Linked DNA regions of Coturnix japonica. The protein of the gene in region 1 interacts with the protein of each later gene in a pairwise test. Links are inferred from orthologs where the notes say so. Each region holds a gene or a part of one and is shown on either strand. Other genes may lie near its edges.

The links.
Region 2: the proteins of HSF2 (region 1) and MTUS2 interact in binary tests that used the Homo sapiens proteins (3 or more experiments, as listed by UniProt). The two-hybrid records come from large-scale screens. The link is inferred for Coturnix japonica from reciprocal best matches to the Homo sapiens genes HSF2 and MTUS2.
Region 3: the proteins of HSF2 (region 1) and WDR5 interact in binary tests that used the Homo sapiens proteins (3 or more experiments, as listed by UniProt). The two-hybrid records come from large-scale screens. The link is inferred for Coturnix japonica from reciprocal best matches to the Homo sapiens genes HSF2 and WDR5.

What each region holds. Positions count from the first base shown.
Region 1 is NC_029518.1:55,734,940-55,742,027, reverse strand, and holds the start of HSF2 (heat shock factor protein 2), read left to right. Parts: upstream 1-2,880; 5' UTR 2,881-2,926; coding exon 2,927-3,145; intron 3,146-5,463; coding exon 5,464-5,572; intron 5,573-5,805; coding exon 5,806-5,933; intron 5,934-6,682; coding exon 6,683-6,807; intron 6,808-7,088. UniProt on the Homo sapiens protein: DNA-binding protein that specifically binds heat shock promoter elements (HSE) and activates transcription. In higher eukaryotes, HSF is unable to bind to the HSE unless the cells are heat shocked.
Region 2 is NC_029516.1:157,159,474-157,166,486, reverse strand, and holds the start of MTUS2 (microtubule-associated tumor suppressor candidate 2), read left to right. Parts: upstream 1-2,775; 5' UTR 2,776-2,893; intron 2,894-7,013. UniProt on the Homo sapiens protein: Binds microtubules. Together with MAPRE1 may target the microtubule depolymerase KIF2C to the plus-end of microtubules. May regulate the dynamics of microtubules at their growing distal tip.
Region 3 is NC_029532.1:5,716,356-5,723,446, reverse strand, and holds the start of WDR5 (WD repeat-containing protein 5), read right to left. Parts: upstream 4,234-7,091; 5' UTR 4,110-4,233; intron 2,442-4,109; 5' UTR 2,328-2,441; coding exon 2,247-2,327; intron 1,624-2,246; coding exon 1,515-1,623; intron 283-1,514; coding exon 209-282; intron 1-208.

The DNA.
Region 1 (7,088 bases):
TTCAATGAGAATTATTTGAACTGGATTACAGTGTGTGTGTGTGTGTGTGTGTGTGAGAGAGAGACCACCTTAAGAAAAAACAAACCAAAGAAACCTTTAAAACATATCTAGCTACATCCTGAGATTTGTTCCTCAGTGCTGAATGGAGAACTTTAATCATCAGTGGGAAAATGAAAGTAATCTTAATCGGTTATTTGTAATGTCCCTGAAGAAGAGAGTCAGTGGGATCTGATTGCAGCTCTTTTTATACTATACCTCTCCCCAGCCTCTAGGTAAACTTCCAGTTGTTGGCTTTGTCTTGTATTTTTAACACGTAATCTCAATGTAATAGCCAATTTTTGTGGGGAAGAACGCGTAGCCTAGCAAGGAACAACTTTGATAGCAATTTCAAAAGCAGCTTGATTACATTTGGCAAACTAAACAAAGATAATGACAGTTGCAATTGCAGTTGAAGCATAGATAGTATTTCAGTTTCATTTCAACAGCAGCGTGTGGTTGCTACAATGGTAATTTTAACCAAACTGGAAAGGGAAAAAAAGAATCCTTCAAAAACTGCAGTGAGTCACTACTTTCTCCAGCATCTCACAATACAGAAAAACTAGCCTTTTCAGTTACATTCCTGGATATTAATTAGCTTTTCTTTTGCCTTTAACTTATAGGAACTTGAAAAAGCAACAAACAGGAATGGATTAGTCACAGATACAGAAAAATAAAGATCTGCTTGTTCAGTTCCAGGTAAATCATACTGAGATTAACCACTTTTGTTTGTTTTATTTTCAGTCTTGAATCTTTCTTAGTCCGAACTGGCTGAAGTGTTCTTAAATAACCATTAGTGGTGTGGGAGTGACACACAACAGCCCATAGCCACAGAGCAGGTGGATGTGGTCTGTTCAAATAGTACCTCTAGCCTTAAAGAGGTAGACGAATTTAATACAATTTATTCTTATAACTTATTAAGAACACTTATTTTTGCTTTTCAAATACATGGTTAAAATTGCTTGCTGGCACTTTGTGAGGAGTTTCTCCTCTGTGTTTTGGGGAAGAGTAAAACAATGGAAGCCCTGTTCTTCCTTGAAAGTTTTCAAAAGCTTTAGTAAAGATGACAAGCTTTGCAGGAAGCCCTGAAGATCAAATAATCTGTCCTGAATTTGGAATTTCTTCTTACATAAACAATTGGTTTTGGCTCGGATTTTTTTATCTCACTTTTAAACTTTAAGGGCTTCAAGCATTTGAGTGGAATTTTTTTAAGAAACTGATTGTACTTAATTAGTTGCTATCTCAGTTTGTTTAAAACAGGCCATTTTTCATCATGCAGCTTTCACTCATAATAAAATCAAAACAATCTTTTAAGGTGTACTGAGCATTCTCATGGGATCTAGGAGTACTTGTCCAGCTCAGAAAAGGCTGAAACAAGTATTCCACATGCATTAGCAAAGAGGAAATGAGTAGCACTACTGTGCTATTTTTATAGCACATATTTTCTGGATATTAGGAAGTATTACTTCTTAGAAAGGGTGGTCAGGCACTGGAATGGACTGCCCAGGGAGGTGGTGGAGTCACTGACCCTGGGGGTGTTCAAGGAAAGACTGGATGTTGTGTTGAGGGACATGGTTTAGTGGGAGCCATTAGTAATAGGTGAACGGTTGGATTGGATGATCTTTTAGGTTTTTTCCAACCTTGGTGATTCTATGATTCTATAGGAAGACACACTGAAGAGATAGTAATAAATATGACTGTAGGTCTGATATTTTTTCTTTTTAAAATAACAAAAGCTGCTATTGTTAATGGAAATTAACTTCTTACTTAGAACAGCTATTTAATTGTAAAACGTACTGTCATTCTTGATTTCAACATAGTCCATTAGATATCCTGTGTGCTGAGTCTACCATCTGCTTTTCCTGCAGGGTATGTGGAGAAGGAAAACCAATCAACAGATCATGCGGCCATCCAAATAAAATGAACAGTACCTGAATCAGCTGCACGAGGACAGCACAAAACCAAGAAGATATTCACTTTGGAAGAGCAACCTCTAAAAAGCACTCCGAAATTTTGTGACTGCTTTGTCTTTTTCTTTCACTCTGATCAATGTAGGCAAATAATTACAGTAACTGAATTTGAAACATCATTAGAGTGTCTGAGAGTTAAGGTAGCCAAGAAAGATGTGGTTTTTATCATAGCAACAATGCAACAGCCTTTGAATGTCACCTACTGCAGCCATAAAAAGAAGAGTATTGCCTTGAAACCTGACCCTTTACCTTTGCCCTCGTGTCATTTTCACTTGTTTGTTTTGCGTTGTGCTACTTGCCTGTAGGCGAGTGTGTGGAAGGTTGACTTAGACTTTACTCAGTGTCTGATGTCAGAATGTATACAGGCTGCTGCTATAGCCCTATTGAACTACTCTGTGGGTACCGCTGCAGTGTTGGCATTGAGAGAAGGCAGATGGCATTCGCAATTGTAAAGCAGTGCTATATGAGGGTTATTCTTTGTGCCATCTGTTTTGCTCTATAGCACAGTTTCATATATACTTGAAGATTCCATCTCAATGCTGAGATATCTGCTGCCAAAATACACCTTAGAGATCATCGAGTCCAACCCCCGGGATTCGAGCCCCTGTGTAGCAGAGCGGCACTTCTACCACTTGCGCCACAGGGGGATTCGAACCCACGGTCTCCGGTGTTGCAACGCGCCATTCCTACCACTGCGCCACCGGGGCCCACCCGTAGCCCCGCCCCGGAGCAGCAGCCTAGATCCCATTGGCCCCGCCCTGCTCTTATTTGCGGCCGTGCGCTGTTGTGTCACGTGCTGCCGGCGCACGTGTGCCGTTATGTAACGCACGGCCCGACGGGGCGGGGCCTGAGAGCCGCGCAGGCGCCTCGTGCCGCCGGCGGCCGCGCATGCGGGGCGGCCTCGTGCGCAAGCGCTGGGGATGAGGGGCGGGGCCGAGCGGCGCTGGTTGCAGTCCTCCCGCGCCCCTCCTCCGGTCAGACGGCGGAGGTCTCGAGCGACAATGAAGCAGGAACCGCAACAGCAGCAGCCGTCGGCCCAGCAGCCGCCCTCCGCCGGCGCCGGGGTGCCGGCCTTCCTCAGCAAGCTGTGGGCGCTGGTGGGCGAGGCGCCCAGCAACCAGCTCATCACCTGGAGCCAGGTGCGGCGGCGCGAGTCCCGGCCGTTGCTCGCCCCGCCCCGGCCGCGTGCCCCGGTGTGGGACGGCGGCGGTGGGGCCCGGTTGGGGTTACGGGGCCTTAGGGGGCCTCGGTCGGGGCGGCGCGGGGCGGGAAATCCGGGCGCGGCCGGGCGGGCCATCGGCGGGGGGAGCGACCTCGGCGCGGTTATCCGGGCACCGCGTGCGGATGGAAGTGACGAGCGCGGGTGGCAGCCCGGGGCCTGGCCCTGCCGCCGGCTGCGGAACGTACCGGGGCGCGGCTGGGACGGGGAGCCGCCGCGGGGCACGGGCTGGGGCAGGGGATCGGGCGGCGTGCGCTGACAACGGAGCGGTACTTTGCGCTGCGGCTCGTCCGTAGTGCGCGGGGTTGTGTAACGGCTGCGAATTGCACGTATAAGATGGGTGGGAGAACGGCGTTTTTACGTCTCCCCCCGCGGCCGCCCCGCTCCCCGAGCGGCCACGTGGGGTAGCAGTTCCTGCGTCGGCCGCGGCCACCTGCACGCGGTGTAACTGCGGGGCTGCCCCCAGCCCGGCCCGCGGCGGCCTTTGTTGTGGTGGCCCGGATGTGTTGGGCACCTTGAATGGACGGAGCCGGGCGGGCATTGCCTCTATGGAAAGTCCCTGAGTGCCCGGCGGGTGCCAGCGCGGGACGGGAGTTGGGCTGCTGCTGCTGATGTCGTGGAACCCGTAGTTATCGTTCCGATGTGTGTTAGCGTTGGGTCGATCCTTACAATCTAATACAAGTAAAACCTGAGAGGGATGTCCTTTCCTTCTGAATCCCTTGTGCTAAAATGCAAGCTGCGGTGGTAGATAATAAAAAACGCATTATCAGCTTGCGGAGTTTAGGAGTATATTTATGTACTTCAAGGCAGGGAGTAACTGCCTGCTTGCATGCAGTGAAGAGGCTGGCACATGTAGTGCGCTGGACATCATTAACTTGTGATAAACACTGCACAGTCTTAATGGAGGCACAGGTAGCAGGAATAATGAATAAAGTATATAGGAAAGTGTCCCACGCTGCTGTCAGTAACAACAGGACTTGAGAACCCTGTTCAGGTACACAGTGATGCTTCACTGGGTTAAAGCTGGGCATTAGCACGTTTACAGCATCGATGTAAGCAAGCATCGGGGCAACAAGGACCAATGGCAGTAGGTTAGAAATTTTTCAAGGTGATAATGAAGTTTGGTGCTGCACAAAAGCTGTTTGCTGGCATTACAGGTTGCTGTAGCACCACTTAAAACCTTAAACTGGTGAGTCAGGTTAACTTAAAATGATCTCTCACCTTTTCTTTTACTTCCCGTTTTCTTTACGCTGCCTATTTCTCAGCAGGAGATAGACATGCATTACTGGGAAGTTGGGAAGTTTATCGTTTGTCAAAAGTGAGTTCCCACATGAGCAGTCTTCATGTGGTCTCATAGTTGGCTCTTGAGGCTTTACTGGGGAGCGTGTGGCTGGTGGCATCTGTGGGTAGGAAGCAAGTGTGGCTCCTCGAACTGAAGGGCTTCCGAGAAGATGGAGAGTAAGGGTTGGCATTTGTCAAAGCTGATAGGTGAGGTGAGGTTGTTGCGAGTAGATTACAGATAAAACCTCTGGCAGTTTGAAGCCTCTAATTCTGATTCTGCCAATTCTTGCCCTTTAGTTAATGGAGCAAGATTATTGAAGAACAAAGAACGGAGGCTTCTGTTTGTCTCAGTCTGTGGATGTAATTCGAGGATCAGTTTATTGGGTAAAAGATCGATCCTCAGAGTTGGCACGCAGGAGGAAGGAATTACTGTCTTGAGTGCTTTATGGTCATTTTGAAATCTTGTGGACAAGCTGAGGTCTTTGACAGCTCCATCTTGTCTGTGAGCCTTAACAAACTAGTCATACTTCAGCGCTGGATAGCAAAAAGGTTTTCAGCTGTGATTTGCAGGGTTGTTTTGATTTTGACCTTGTACGGTTTCTTTGCTGTATTTGTATTCCCTCTCAAGATTTTGAAGCTCGTAGGTTACAAAATTGATGGTGTTGTGCTGTAGTGAAACCGGTGCTTGTTGCTAAACTTGTCCTTAATTAATTTCTTGAGGAAGTGTGGAGAGAAGCAGTGGAAATGTTCTCCTTTAGATATGGATGGCAATGCAAATTGATAGTTCTCTGTTGCTTTGCAACTGGCAGTTATAAGCTTTTGTTGTGGAAAACTGCAGGCAAGCAGATCAGTTACGTCCTGCATGCACAAAGGAAACATTCCTATGCGGTGATTAATTCTGCAAGCCCAGAGTGTGTTCTACAATAGTCTTAAGTAGCTTTATGTCTCTCGTTTTAGAATGGCCAGAGTTTCTTGGTGTTGGATGAACAGAGATTTGCAAAAGAGATTCTGCCAAAGTACTTCAAGCACAACAACATGGCCAGCTTTGTCCGACAGCTAAACATGTGTAAGTTCTCATCTTTTGTTTCTGTCACAGTTAAAGATCCTGGATGTGTTTAGTTATGTGTTATTTTCTTCTGAACGGTTGCACTGTGTTCGTCGCGTTTAGAGTATTGTCTTGTCCTGAAAACTGATAGAAGGATGGTTGGAACAGTATATTGTTATATATGTAGTTTGAATTCTTTAGTGTGAGTTTTGAGAGATGAGTTTTTTCTCCTTTTTTTCCCCCTCTATTTAAAGATGGCTTCCGTAAAGTTGTTCATGTTGATTCTGGGATTGTCAAACTGGAGCGAGATGGTCTAGTTGAGTTTCAGCACCCCTATTTTAAGCAGGGTCGAGAGGACTTGTTGGAACACATTAAAAGGAAGGTTAGTGAAAACTCGGTATATAAACTGTAATTGTAAATGAATAGCAAAGTTCATGGCAAGTTTTAATTGTGGGTTTGTAAGTTCATGTGGAATTTTCATGTATGTTCTGATTTATTTATTTTGGGGGCTTTGACTAAGCTGCTCTAGATAATTTTTGCTCATTATAGTAAGTTTCACAGGCAGCAAAAATAAGTCATGCAAATAGAAGATCTAACAGGTATATGTGAAGAGGGCAGAACACACTTTAACTTTACCATCACTAATGTAATTATTTTTTATGTAGCTTGATTCAGAACATAGCTACTGCAAGAAGTAACCTTCTTGCCCAGGAGAGCTGGAAGCAAACATGTAAACGTGTTTGTTGTGCTGCTATTACATTTCTAAAATTTGCTTTGCTGTTACTGAGAATCAGGTGCATAAGAGTAGATATCAAACAGAAATGCAGTAACTATGGTGAGAGAGATGTGCTTGTTAGCACTGGGTTCATTTGAAGCAGTTAAGATGTAGAGTGCTGAGTACTATGTCTGGAGAATCTGAAGGTAAACAAATGCTTGTAATAAGAATGATACAGCATCTGTTGTAAGAAGTCTCTCCGTTTCTGTATTTACGTATTTGATGCATGGTTTATTAGTGACTTTAACTCAGTTATCAGCACCATCATCAACAGCATCATACTTGATCTTCAAAAGAAAATAGTAATTAACAATGAGTAAAGGGATGTTTTGTTTCTGGATTCTCATCTCTTAAAGGTTTCTTCTTCAAGACCTGAAGAAAACAAGATAAGCCAGGAGGATCTCTCCAAAATAATAAGTAGTGCTCAGAAAGTGGAGATTAAACAAGAGACTATTGAATCTCGATTGTCTGCCCTGAAAAGGTAAATGCTTTGTCAACAGCTGATACCTAAAATGGAGTAATTCTGGTAATAGATATTGGAGAACAAATATGACATAAAAGTAAGATCTCATTTTGGTTTCTTGGTGTCTAACTTGAACTGTTGTTGTAGTTAGATAAATTTCAGTGAAAGATTTGCATTAAGATTGAATATTTTATGACTAATATGAAAATATGACTAAAAGTAATAAGCAAATTGGTGTTTGAACAACCATCTTTACTACTAGTTCCTTAATGCTGCTGAGTTGGAATATTCAATTAGTT
Region 2 (7,013 bases), on another chromosome or scaffold:
TCTGAAATAGCACCTCTCTTTGAAGATGGGACAAGTTGAAAGGCTGGGAGAATGTGCAGAAGATGAAATATCTGTAAAACAAGAGTGCTTCTCTATCCTTTTTTAGATCTTAGATATTCAGAATGCATTTGAGTATTTGAAGAGGTGGGAAACTCTTTAATATCATCTGAAAGCTTCAAGAGAAGTTTATAAACCAAAGTCATGGAATCATGTGAGCTGGAAGGGACTCTTCCAGGCCATGGAGTCCAGCTCCCTTCAGTGAACTGGGACACAACATCTTAATAACAGCAACTTCATCAAATTACCAGCTAGGACTTTTTGAATAAGCTGCATCAACCCATGCCTGATAGTGATACAGGAGAGCACTGAGTGGCTTACAGATGGGGCAGAAACAGTGGATCTTGCTAATGAAAATGCTTTCTTAAATAGCATGATATAGATGCATGGTTATATAATGCAAGTTTGTGTGCATTACTGTTGGAATTTACTGTAATAACTTAAGATGACTGCCAGATGTGCTTGTATTTTTGTTGATCAAAACCTGAGAGGCTCACAGTCATCATCCAGTCTGTGCAATGAAGTCCAGACCCATTGCTTCTGTCCAAGCGAGTCATCCTTTAATGTCAGAACCAGCCAGGCATGGGTGTTGAAGTGAAAGCCCTGAAGTTCAGGTCACAAATTACTGAGCTCTGCCCTCTGAGGACCTGGTTGAGGGTGGGCAGATGTTGCTCTGTTTCACCTTTCTGGAGCTCTGCCTTGGGCGAGGAGGGGGATGAGTCATTGGCACTGAGCTGCAGTAGCGTTAAGGTTAACCTGATTTGAGCGGAAACAACGCCGTGCCTGACAAGAGCAGAGCGTTCATTTTTAGCTGCTCAGCAGTTGGAGTATCAAATCTCTGAAAAGCTGCCTGGCTTGATTGTTCCCATTACATAACAGCGATGTCTTTGGGATTTGAGAGGCGCTGTGAGTGACATGTCTCTTACATAAATCCCCACGGCTGTGATCTGTGCTGACCCTGGGCAGCCAGGAATGGCTGACAGCAGCGCTGAGCCCATGGGGAGGCCAGGAGCAGTGGCCCTCTGCTCTGAGGGGTTCCCCCAGATGCTTGCTGGGGTTGCAGGTTTTGTTCCTGCTAATGTACTGTGAACAGGGGCTGAAGCAGAAAGCAAGCCCTTAAACCCTTTTGTGTCCTCATAGCCTTTGGGTGCTCTCTAATAGGTTGATGTCCTCCTTACACTGTGACCCCTAGACTTGTTCAGAGGGTGTGTCTGCTGACTTCTCCATAGGAGAGCTGTGTTCTGGCTGTGCTGACTGCCTCTGCTGTAATTAAGAGCATGTTAAGAATGGTAGGCAATGTTGTGGGATTGTTTGGGAGAAGAATCAAGGTAACTATGCACAGAGATGCCTATCTAATTAAAACTACAGGGAGATGCGGATGGCAGCTAATGAGGCTGAATGTGCAACTTAACTGAGTTATTTGAAGAGAAGCAACCTGCCTTGCTGGGGTAAAGAGGGTGGGAGGGAAATAGAACATAGTTTAGAATTCATTACCGAAGTATAAATTTCACTATAACTAGTGCAAGCTTTGCTTTGGGTTCCTTTGGATTAGGGATTCTACCACACTGAACTGAAACAAATTAAGAATGGTAACTAGAAATTGCATGTGAATCAAGTACTTAAAGACTACTATTTTATTAAATCGTTCTTAATATCCCATCCGTATCTTCATCTTTGAGTATCTTCTAGGTTTTCATCCAACTTTTCTCCACTTCATCTTTACCTCAAGGACAAAAAACTGACAAGTGGCTTCTCCTTTTTCCCCCCGTTCTCTCCTTCCTCTTTCTTTCCTTCTTTTCCTGTCATATCAGTTTCTTCTTTAGTTACTCTGCTTGTTCTGCAGTCACATCCCTCTTCTTGTACTTGTCTTTCTTCACTCTATAGTCTCTCCTGCCTCTTTTGTCTCATAATACAAATACATATCACTTTATGTATTTGTATTATGAAAAAAAAAGCTTTTCCAGCTTTTCTGTCTTACGGTTTGATCTGTGCTGCTTGGAAGTTCCTCTTCTAGTTTCATCTTTGATTCTTTTTAACTTGACTTTGGGCACCTTTTAACCCTTGTGAAAGTGTATCCTGGGCTAAGGACTGTCTGTTAACTTCTCAGACTCAGCCTGTCATCTTTGAGACCATAATTACCACTCTGGCAATTTTCTCTTGACTTCTGAGAGAATCTCCTTCTGTGTGGCTTCTGGGTGATCTTCCTCACCTTTGTTTCTTTTCTTTCCCTTCCTGCTTTTTCTGGGAGATATCATAAGGAACATACTCAGCTTAATTTCCATGGATAGCAAAGCATTACCCTTTTATCATCAAATGGTAGCGTATGTTGAAGTGCCATATAGCCACATAGTGTGTGTCAAATAATGCAGAACCCCTTAAAAACAGCAATCTCTGTGAATACATCAAAACCTGACTAGGCTTAATCTGTGCTTCCCCCTTTAGCTTAGGTACCTAAATTTGACATAGGAGCACAGAGTTTGAGTAAGGCTCTTTCAGAGGAAGAGGAACAGAAAATGCAGAGTTTGTTTCAAAGCTCTGTGTTCTCTTCCCCGTTTTTCAGAGTAGGTGTGTTGCCTGGTTGCTTGATTTCAGTCGCTTTTAACAGGGACCAACCTATCTGTGAGTTAATGGCAGGAAATTGAGGCAGGAGCACAATCAAAAGTGCAGGATGTTTAATCTTCAGCAGTGTTTACAAAAGATTCGGTGTTTGCCTTTGTTACCTACACTAATTCTGATGAGCCTTTTGTTCCTTTTTTTTAAAGGTTTCCACCCTGGGACTGTTTTCTAAGGCAAACTATCACCAATGGAAGTAACATTTGTTTTTCCAGCGTTCTGGGTAAGATTATCTTCTGTGTTGGTTTTATTTGTCTGATGTGTTCGTAAACGTTTGCCACTGAACTCTTTGCAAGTTTTCTTTGATTTTTATTACATTCTGTCCAACAAAAAGAAAAATGCTCTCTGATGATTTCATAAACAATGCAGATAAAGGTGACTTCAAAGCAAACCATGAGGCTCTTGCACTGGGGGAATTATAAAACATAAACAGACCTTTGCTTTCCTAATGTTGTTTCGAATTGTTTCATAGGTATAGTGAGTATTGAAAATATATGGTATATACTAGTTGAGTTTCATATCTAAACTAAACATAGCTACTTCCTTTGTGTGTGTTCTTTGGGCTATCAAATCTTTTAAAGATACAATAGTTGAAGTTGGACACATGTTTGGGACAGTGGGAAAGGTGTATTTTTCCTGGGAGATGGATCCTGTAAACCATGTTGTAGTGGCATGAAGTTGTGCTCAGTCAGTCATTGTGAACAATAATGTTGCTTGCTGAAGTTTCTGGAAGGTCAACAGTGATGTTATACCAGGGAGAAAAGAAGTTGATAGCTATGTTGCCAAGTTGCGGGGCAGTGTTTGCCATTAGGCTGGGGACATTGGCTCCATGATTTATAGTGCCCCCCAGTAACATGCTGGAAATGGCCCCAAAGCCTTGTGACTCCCTTCCAGCTGACCCTCAGTCAGGCAAGATGCAGTGCTGGCTTTGGCCCAGCCAGAGGTAGCTTCACTCTGACCAAATAAAAGCTGAGCTCTGAGGACTTTTTCTGCAGTGACCATGTCATGATGGGACAAAACCATCTTTCATGATCTTATGCTGTGCCCAGTTTTACAGCAGGCTCTCAGCTAATTTCTAGGAGGTCTGAGCCTGTTCCCCAAGTGATAAAGTAGCCTTGCTGGTAAAGATTTGGTGATTCTGCATGAGCATTTTGCTGTAATTTGGAGAGACCTGGACCTGGTCTGACCTGGAATCAAAAAGGTCTGGTAAGAGCAGCTGGCACTGGGAGATGTCCAAGATCCCAGCAGTAAGAATGGGAACAACTCTACTATGCAGCATAGTAAGGAGTTGCTCATGGAAATTAAAGGCCATTGGATAGGCAAAAACCTCCTTAGGAGTCTTGAAATGAGTTTGCTTGATGTAATGATTGCTAGAAATACACTGCTTGTGACAAACCCTGTAGCTATAGCAGTTGGCTGCAAATAAAGAAAATGCTGCCAGAAGAAGTCAAATAGAGCAAGAAATGTAGGGGACTATCTATAATTTGATGCTTCCTGCAAACCTGGAAGGATAATTTGCTGGCCCATTTCTAACTCTTTTGAAGAGGCAGGACCAAATAATGTGTGTTTGTAGGATGTAATGTGCTTTTCACTTTTCTCATGCAGATCTTAGAGCTCTGAGTGGGCGGATGCTGTTTGTACAAAAGCATAACCTTGCTCAAGTGATCTTTGTATGAACTTGGAGTGTGTAACCCTCATAGCTGTGTCTGATAGGAGGTATCCTGACCCACTATTAAAATGCTGTTCTGAAAGTGTTATTAAAAAAAGATTTTAAAGGAGTAGGTTGAAGTGTTCTGCTTGGGAAGTTGTGGATCAAATGGTTGATAATTTACCTCTGCTTCAAAGAAGAGGAGGTTTTTGCTGCTTTCAGCAATAACCAGAAAGGCAACGAAGCAATTTGACAATATTTTAAGTCATCCAGTAATTTAACACTGGATTACCATTGAAATCTCATAAAAATACTGAAGCCATCCTACAGTGTATCAGATGGATTAAACATGTTTCACTTATTGCATTAAATTCCAGAGGGATTAATAATGTCTGGGTCATTGTTCCCTAGACTTAGAAATTGTAAGGCCAGAGGGGTCTGCGTGAATATCTGTTCTTTCTACCTACTCTGTGTGGGTTGAGGAAATGCTGAATATATACCAGGAATCATCCTTTTTTTTTTTTTTTTTTTTTAAATTTCCTTTGTTCAGCAAATCTTCTGGAAAGAGATCAAATTCTTGTTGTAGAGGGTATCAGTAGTAATGAATCTGCCATGTCACAGGTAAATTGTTGCAGTGAATGAGTCTTGCTCTCAGAAGCAGCTTGCAGCTCTCTTCAGCTTCTGAATGTAGTACATTGTCTGTCCTGCAGGACCAGTAAAGTATCAGTTATCTGAGAAGCTGACCCTCCATTCCGTTAGTCACTTAAAATGCATTTACTATGAGATGTGTTGAAGGATGGTGAATCTTTTAGTTCAGGTTTTCATGTAATATGACTTTAAATTAATGTGTAGTGTGGAATTAGGGGCAGTAATGTTAGCACACTATACTGCCATTATTAAATGTTGATGTAACTGTGTAGAAAGAGATTTGCATGCCCAAGCCTATTTTCCATACAGCTGTGTTGATTGTGCTACTGTCTTTCAATGCTTTATTGATCGTGTCTCATGATAAGCTTTCCCTGATGCTGTTAACTACTGATGTGAGTCTGATGGTTTGATCATAGCTACAGTTGTCTTTTAACTTTAACTACTTCCAGTTTAAACCTTTTCCAGTTGTTAGCAGCAATCATTGCATCAGGGAAATTATTGACATATCTGCCCTCTGCTGCTGTGTACAGGTTACCAGAGCTCTATTTTATTTATTTATTTATTTATTGCTTTTCTTCCATCACTTGCATTTATGCAATGGTAATTTGCATGTTGTTATCTGTGTCCCTTTTCCCCATCTGTTATGCACTGTGGATTTGTTTTAAAGGTTTATTTGCTGCTGCTGTTACATTGATTAACCAGGATTCTTTAACTGAAAAAGCTTTCTTTCATGACTGTGGCACAGTGCTTTTTGTGTTATGACAGATTATAAAGTATCCCCAGCTAAACAGTTCACCTCCATCCAGTAGAAATCTAGTATTATCTAGAGATGCTTCTTGAGTTAAGATGTGGACAAGAACTTGTGGACTTTCCTGTAGCTTTCAAGTGAAGTGCTTTTTCCTGATAAATTCCCTGCTAGAATAAAACTGTGTGGCAGTATTTTTCCTTAACTTTGAGGGTATATGCCTGAGGAATATCTCTGTCTGTTCTCTTACCTCACTTGATGGATTTCTAGCAGACCTTTTCCTCATCTCATCTTGTGGTTTGCCAGCTGTCCAGATTCTGCTTTTCTTGTATGTGTGATGTTCATGGCTTTATCTTATGCACACTTGCTCCGAAATAAGCATGGAGCTTTTTTAGCATTGATTCTTACCATAATTTACTGTTACCATTTTAACTTTTAGTAGAAGTGAGCTTCCTTTTAAGAAGGGAATTCTGTTGATATGGTGAGCCCAGTCATTGCAGTTGTAAGCAAGTATTGTTTGTCCTTTAAGAAACAAAAATAAGCTATTTAAATATCAACAATACTGGCATAACACTGCCTTCTGTTGTCAGCTCTGCAGTGTATGAATCACAAGAGCTTTGACAATTCATCGTGACATGGGAAGTCCCTTGTTTGTCTGACATGTGCAGTGTGCAGCTCTGTAGTGCATGTGACCTTTGCAGGCTGCGGCTGCTGCAGTGTCATGGTGGGAGTAAGCAGACTTGAACCTCGTAAGATGGAATTCATGCTGTGATTGGCTTTGGAGCTGACTCCATACAGCAATGGAAGGAAAAGGCAGCAGCTGAGGTTAAAACTTTATATGTTTTCTCTTGTGAAACACCAGTATAATCTTAAGTGGTTGATTCTCAGAATTTTAACAGTTTACCAGGTTAAAGTAATATACATATGGTAATTGGCTCTTCACTGTTTGAAGTAAGTAATGTGTCAACATTGGCAGCTCCGATAGCAGCACTACACCTTGCCTGGTGAGGGTATGTAAGGAGGTGAATGGGACCATCTCATGCAAACCAACTGCATGGGAAAAATTTGCATCTCTGTGTTAAATTGTGCTTAGTGTGAAGGTGCTTGGGAAGCTGAGTGTCTACAGCAGAGAATTTGTAGAATGGCTTAGTGAATGTGTTCAAATGAATTTCAGAGGTTACCAGATTCCCATGGATAACGACTCCATTGATGGGCTGTGTAAGTGCAGCATCCCAAATGGGATCCAGTCCACAGAAGAGCAACCTGCTTGTAAATGTTCTTTTATTTGGTGTCTTGTGGCTT
Region 3 (7,091 bases), on another chromosome or scaffold:
TGCACCGCACCCACATTTCCAGCTTGACCTGATGTCACCTCAGTAATTCCACCCCCAGACAACTGCACAGGACTGTATAAACAAGGAGATACAAATACAGCCTTCTGCAGCAAAGGAACCACGAATGGAAATGACTAGATGAGGAAAAAGAAGGGAGAATAAATTCATTACAAGAAAAGACTCATACGCAGTGAGTCCTTATACTTACCAGTTTATGGCCAGATATCGTTTTTTCAAACTTGCCATCATATGCTCCCCAAATTTTAATAAGTTTGTCAGCAGCTGGAAAAGAATGTGCCAGTTTAAGAGACATGCAGCACTGACAGACACAGCTGGAGGACAGGGATATGTTAACCATGCCCCTACTAAAGGTGGGTAGTCCTCCCTCTCTATGCACACACAAGCGTATAAGGCTGTATGTAACTGGTAAAGAATGGTTTCATACACACCACACTCACTGCTGCAACTGAGATTACATAAGCTGCCTGGAATGCAGTCTCCAGTCGCTTTAGTTTCTCTGATGACAACTTGAGCTTCTACTTTTGTTTAAGCCTGCCAGTGGTAGACGCAGTACTGTTCCATGTGGAATGCTGAAACTCTTTTGCCCAGAAAGAGCAAAAATTACATCACTACCTGGAATGAATTAATGCCTGCATAAACCCAAACATGCTGTCCATTTTAACTTGCAAAACGGGCCAGAGAAAGAGGTTGATATTTGCCAGAGGCTGGAAAACCTTAGGATGGGGGAAAAGGTCTTTCATAAGGATAACAGAACATAAAAGTGATTTACACATGGTATACTGGCCTTATAAAGGCAATGTGAAGTTAAGCCAAAGACCGAAGTAATTCCCATGTCTGGAAGATGTTTGACTGGCTCCCACCATCACATTCAATATTGTTCTTTAATTGCTCTTTCTTCATATACAGTACCTCACTGAGGTTAGTATAAGGACATTTACTAAGGAAAGCTACCAAGCAGTTTTCTTGGTGACAAACACCAAAGCTGTCAGGGGAGAACTCAACCTGCCAACTAAGAGGGAGCAGCGAAACACTATGATCTGCATATTTCATTGGGATAATCTAAGGCTCTGACTTGCTAAGAACCACAGGCACAGAGAACAGAAGCACACAGGCAGTCCTTCACATCACAATGCAATCCAGCCCAGCAGTGCCAAGTTAACTCTGACATTTCCCAGAGCTGAGTTTTACCTGCAGGTACCGCACCCAGAATTTAAAAGCTTAAGCTTCATCTTTAGTGCCACAGAAAAGCACAAGGATGGGGCAAGAATCCCGTTTGCTTTTGTCCCCTTGCACAGTAAGAAAACTAAACAGGAAAGGACTCTGAGTTAGCAAAACACTGAAAGATCTTGGATTATCCCAAAGTCTGCCAGTTTGGGCATTGTTCCTTTTAAGAACAGTAAGGACACTTATCCCTTCTCCATCCAGTCAGTTAAGACAAGTAGTTCTACAAGGCCCGTATTTGCATTCTGTTGATGTAAGAAAGCAATACTTACAGGAGCTGGCTAACCACTCTCCATTAGGACTAAACTTTACAGATGATACCGCCTTCGTATGTCCCGCTAACGTGAACTTTAGAGCATAATTTGGTTTCACTGGTGCAGGCTGGAAGAAAAATACATATGAATGAGTTGAATAAATTCCCAATTTAGTTTCTCAGTGACAAGCTCAGTATCAGACGAGATCAGCACACATGAATACATACATTCACCTGAACAGATTCTACCATTTACATTCTCTCCCCCCACCAAATTCAACAAGCCCCCACTGGAGCCAGAAGCACATTACAGCCACGTGCCACCAAACTCATCCTGATCTGAATTCCCTTCAAGCCTGCAACTAACAGATGACAGTAACACAACAGTTCGAGCACAGAGTGTTTTGAGATTAAAATAAAACCTCTGGTGATGGTTTTATACTCTGTGTATAGTACTATGAAATGCCTGTAGTTCTATTCCTTGCTCAGAAGCAACCACAAGCCAACTCCCCCAGGCCCCTTAAAACTCTATTTCAACCAAATAATCAACCTAGCACTAAGCTGTACTCAGCCTGCTTTTCCCCTACAACCTTCAGCACACTTCCCTCTCCATACAACAGCAGAGGCAGACGTATTAAGAAGTTCTTAATGCATACTTGATTCAGTTCTCTAATTGCTGTTTGCCTGGTGCACGTGCAGGTATGCACCATGTGCATTTACGCAGGCATTGTTCAGAGCTCCCCACACACACCTTGCTCTGATTGGTTGAGGAGGAAGGAGTCGATTGTGTTTTGGTGGATTCTGCATCTGGTTTCTTTTCTTCTGTTGCCATGGTTCTGAAGCCGGCAAATGAGACCTACGGTGCTTGAAGGGGGAGAATGAACGTGCTGCTTCACAAGGCAGCCCTTGCCACGGGGAGAGGAACAGCGCTGCTAGAAACAAAACCCTGGAAGAAAAAGCAAACAATCACATTAACCATCAAAGAAGGATCAGAGGCAGCTAAAGGAACAAGATCAGCTTAACTGCAGGTCTGCAGAAAACATGATGAGGAAACATATTGTACGCCTGCTCAGCAACATGCCATTTTATGCCTACAGGTCTATTAGTGGTCTATCAAGAACCCAAATACAAGACTTTGATCAGCTCCTGCACAGCGTTTTTTGCTGTGTTTTGTACCAATCACTACAAATAAAGCAGAGTAGCTCTTAGAGGCAGTGGGTTTATCTTATATTCCTTGAAACATCTGTACAACACAGCAAATACAACACCTTATATATAAGGCATTTCCAAAGCTTAAAACCACACCAGGTTTGTTTTATTTTTCCATTTCCTATTTCAAGTACTTTGGTCTAATACCTTCCCCCTAAATGCTGTGAGCACCATATCCCTGCTTGAGAGATCCCCCTGCCTAACAGCAGCCCTGCATTAACCTCACCAGATCTGCTTTCTGTAGCAAAACCTGAGCAGTGCTGTGCTGTACCCTGCAATCAGGGCTGATGCTGCAGAGGGAACAATCACGCTGCAGTTCAGCTTCATTTCAGCAGTGTAACAGAATAACCCGCAGCTCACATTGTAAGGATTTACAAATCCTTTGCTATTTGCAATATCCCATCCCAAGCACAATCCATTTTGCTTGTGGCAGCAAATCCAAGAGGAACAGCATTGACTTTTCAAGCCACGATGCACATCTTGTCCTCAGGAGGGCACAGAGCTCAGTGCCACCAGTTGCAAGCTTTACAAGCACAGTACAGACTCCTTACTTACTGTTAATACCAGCAACTCCAGCTCTATAATCCAGATCTAATGCATTTCAACCTGAACTTATATGGGAACTTGAGCAAGCAACACAGCTTACCCCTTGCACCTCCTCATACAAACCTGAGCAGCAGCACATGGCAAGCTTCAAAGGGCCCTGGCTGCAAACACCCCTTTCTCACCACACCCAGGGGGGAAGCTCGTGTAAACTCAGCTTGTAAGCAAGAAACTTCCCGAAGGCTTTAGAAGCAGCAGCAGCCTGCAGGAATACACAGCCTGCAAGGATACACAGCCTGCAAGGATACACAGCCACGTGTGTGCACGTACATAGGGCGTGCACACATCCACAGGGCTGCACGCTCTACAGCGAGGCGTGGAGCAGCACAGAGCAATGGAGCTGCAGAGCAAAGCAATGGAGCTGCAGGGCAAAGCAATGGAGCTGCAGGGCAAAGCAATGGAGCTGCAGGGCAAAGCAATGGAGCTGCAGGGCAAAGCAATGGAGCTGCAGGGCAAAGCAACGGAGCTGCAGGGCAAAGCAAGGGAGCTGCAGGGCAAAGCAATGGAGCTGCAGGGCAAAGCAACGGAGCTGCAGGGCAANCTGCAGGGCAAAGCAACGGAGCTGCAGGGCAAAGCAAGGGAGCTGCAGGGCAAAGCAATGGAGCTGCAGGGCAAAGCAACGGAGCTGCAGAGCAATGCAATGCACACACAGAGCAATGCAATGCACATACAGAGCAATGCAAGGCCGCACGCGGCCCCCTCTCGCCTCAGAGTGAGGGCGGTGGGGGAGGGAGGAGAGGCGGCTCCCCACACGAAGCCGGAGCTGAAGGAACCCATCCAGCCGGGCTCCATAGTGACTTACCGAGGGAAGGGGAAGGGCTGGGTGCACACCCGGCACCGCCGCCTCCTCCTCCTGCCTCGGGAGGGGCGGAGGGGGGACACGGCGGCGGCGGCAGCACCGGAGCCGCCAGGCGGGGAATGTGGCACTGCGCATGCGCGATGTAGGCCAAAGGCTGCACAATGCCGCTCTCTCCCATGAGCGCTACGGTGCGGCCAGAGGGACAAAAAGCATCAGTGGGGGCCGTGCGCCTTAAAGGGCCACGCGCTTCTTTTTTCAGCCTGCTTCCCGCCTTTGGAAATGGCTCTGTGCTGAAGGCCTCCATCCCTCAGGTGTGTGCTCGCTGCCCTGAGGAATGAAGGAACGAAAGCACTGAAAATTCATGCTTAACCCACAATATTGTGAGGAGACTGAGCTAATCCGTAAGGTAAACAGCACAGCAGGCCACGTAATGCTGTTATACCGAGGGTAGGTGTGCGGCCTAGCCCTGCCTAGGGATATATTTAGCTTCCATTTAGCTTGCATGCAGATTCTCCTCAAATTTCAGTGTTTTTCTGGAAAACAGTGGGTTTTTTTCCGAACTGCTTTCAGTGAGAGGGAAGAAAACCAAGAGACACGTGTTATGTGCTGGCCCTGTAACACAGGAAGATCTGCGGGCTCCAGAAATGCTGGTGGCTGCTGAGAAAGGAAAAAAGTGATGGTGTAATGAAGCCAAGGCCCTTCTCCAGCTTGGAAACCCATAGCTGAAGTCTGCAGCTTTAACCCTGCCCTTTACCATGGGGGGAAAATACAGGCATGGAACTGTGAGAGATGCTCCATCCATCCTATGCTGTTAGGGAATAAATCCAGTTCTTGCCTTGGTGTATAGTCTTCATTCTGGAAAGAAAAGAAGACTAAATACCACAAATCAGCAGGGTAATGCTATACATTCATGCAGCTTTCTTGTGATAAGGGTAGGTGTTGCTTTCACATAGGAGACAAGAGCCTGTATTTCTGTACTGTGCCTCCTCTCGTTGTGGAAGCTTTTTTTGCCTGATATTTCATATATATTAATCTATATCTATACTGAATGATACCTTTCTGGAACTGGAAACTATAGTTTCCAATACAAATGGTAATTGTAATCCTAAGCAACCCCTTAGCCTCTGAGTGTCCTGGATTTATCTTTAACAAATGTCATAAATAGAGAATCTGCACGGACAGCCTGTTGTCTTTGGATGAAATTGAACTTGTGGGTTATGAGTCATCTGTGAGGGTCCTTCTTGCTCCGCAGGCCATGCTGCCACAGCTGGGATCAGCAGGATGTGATCTCTGTCCAAATTCCCTCTCTGTGAAAGACTGGGCCTTGGCAGGCTTCTCTCTCACAAAGTCTTTCATTCCTTTTGGTTCCAAATAGCCTGAACTTGGTGATCTGCCAAGTACATTGGAAAAGACACCTGTCTGTGAGGCTTCTGGGGGGCGAGAAAAGCTTCCCGTAATGCTGAAAAGGAAAGAAAAGTCCATAAGTGTCTCAGATGATTGGGAAGTGACTGCTTTCAGTGCTGGTGTGAGCCCTCTGGATGTCTTTAAGAATGCCAGGAACAGACCCAAGGCCGCGGATTCTGCTGTTGACTAACGTATACAATTCTGTCACAGGTTCCACTGAGACGAAAACTGATCCAACCCTGCACATTTGATCCAAGGGACGTTAATGTTTGCAGAAAAGCTCCTACTAACTTCAGCACATGTTGGATCTGCTCTTTAGGCCACTGCAAACAAGCAAATGCTTACTTTTGCAATGGTGAGTAATAAGACGGTAAGTTTACAAGCTATATAAGCCCATGTTTTGGCACAATTAGCAACTTCTGTTAGGACATTATATTTACTTGAGCCTCTTGGCAAATGGAACACAGAACAGGCATGCTGTATGTTACACACTGTTCAAGAAACAGAGGGAGCAAGAACTTGTGAGAGATCTGCTGCTTCTTTTAGACTTTTAAAGAGCAGCTGATCCTTGACATATAGCTGTTCCTGTGCTGTTGCTAATAGGCTGAAATCAAAGATGCATCACATTCATATGTTTCTTCAGGGATTTAAACTCAAACACTGAACCTTTTCCAAACTGATATTTCTAGCTCCCCCACTACAATATGAACCTTACTTGCATGACTGCCAACGTTTGTTCATTTAAAACTAGGAATAGTTTTCCCAGCAGAAGGCAGCTAGATTCAATTCATTCTGCCCTGGGTGGGATGTGCACCAACACTTAGCCTGGACACAAAGGCCCAATGAATGTTGAAGAACTTATTTTAAGGTTAGATTATTGAACACTGAATTTATAGAACTTCATGTTAGGAAAGACCTATGGAGTAGCAGTCTATGTTTTTGTGGGAGAAGTTGGGACTTTGTGCAAGATTTGAGTCCAGCAATGTGCTATAACGTCTCATCCAATGCAGATGCAACCCCAGTGCAAGTCACAGCCAAGTTAATATGTGAAGGCTGCAGATTTGAGGGCCCCAAACTGAATCACACATGGTCTGACTGCCAGACGTGATGACAGCCTGCTTCTCCCAGCCTCTTCAACTGGAGCAGCAGGTTCTCAGCATTTCTGTGAATCAGGAACTTTGTTCTCAGCTGCTGCAAATGGTTGCTGGTGCAACTACAACTACTGGTTGTTTTTATGCAGTTAGCTCACATCCCTATTTTAGTATATATCCAGTTTTAGTAAAATTTCTCTTTATTATTTGTTGTCATTTAGAAATGCAGATATTTGAATGCGTTACTGTTGGGTTAGAGCTTCTCTTTAGCATTTTTCCAGCCTGCTGAGGAAAGAATGAAAACTAAGAAAATACACAGAAATACATGAAGGCTTTAGGCAGCTGAAGTCTAGTGCATTGTGGTATCTAATAGTTTAAACTGCCTAGCAAATACTGTTCATAAGCTTGCTTTCCTATGCAAACCACTGTGTTAACAGCAGGTGCTAGGCTTCTACATCACACTGAACATGTGAAAAAACCATTTAGATGC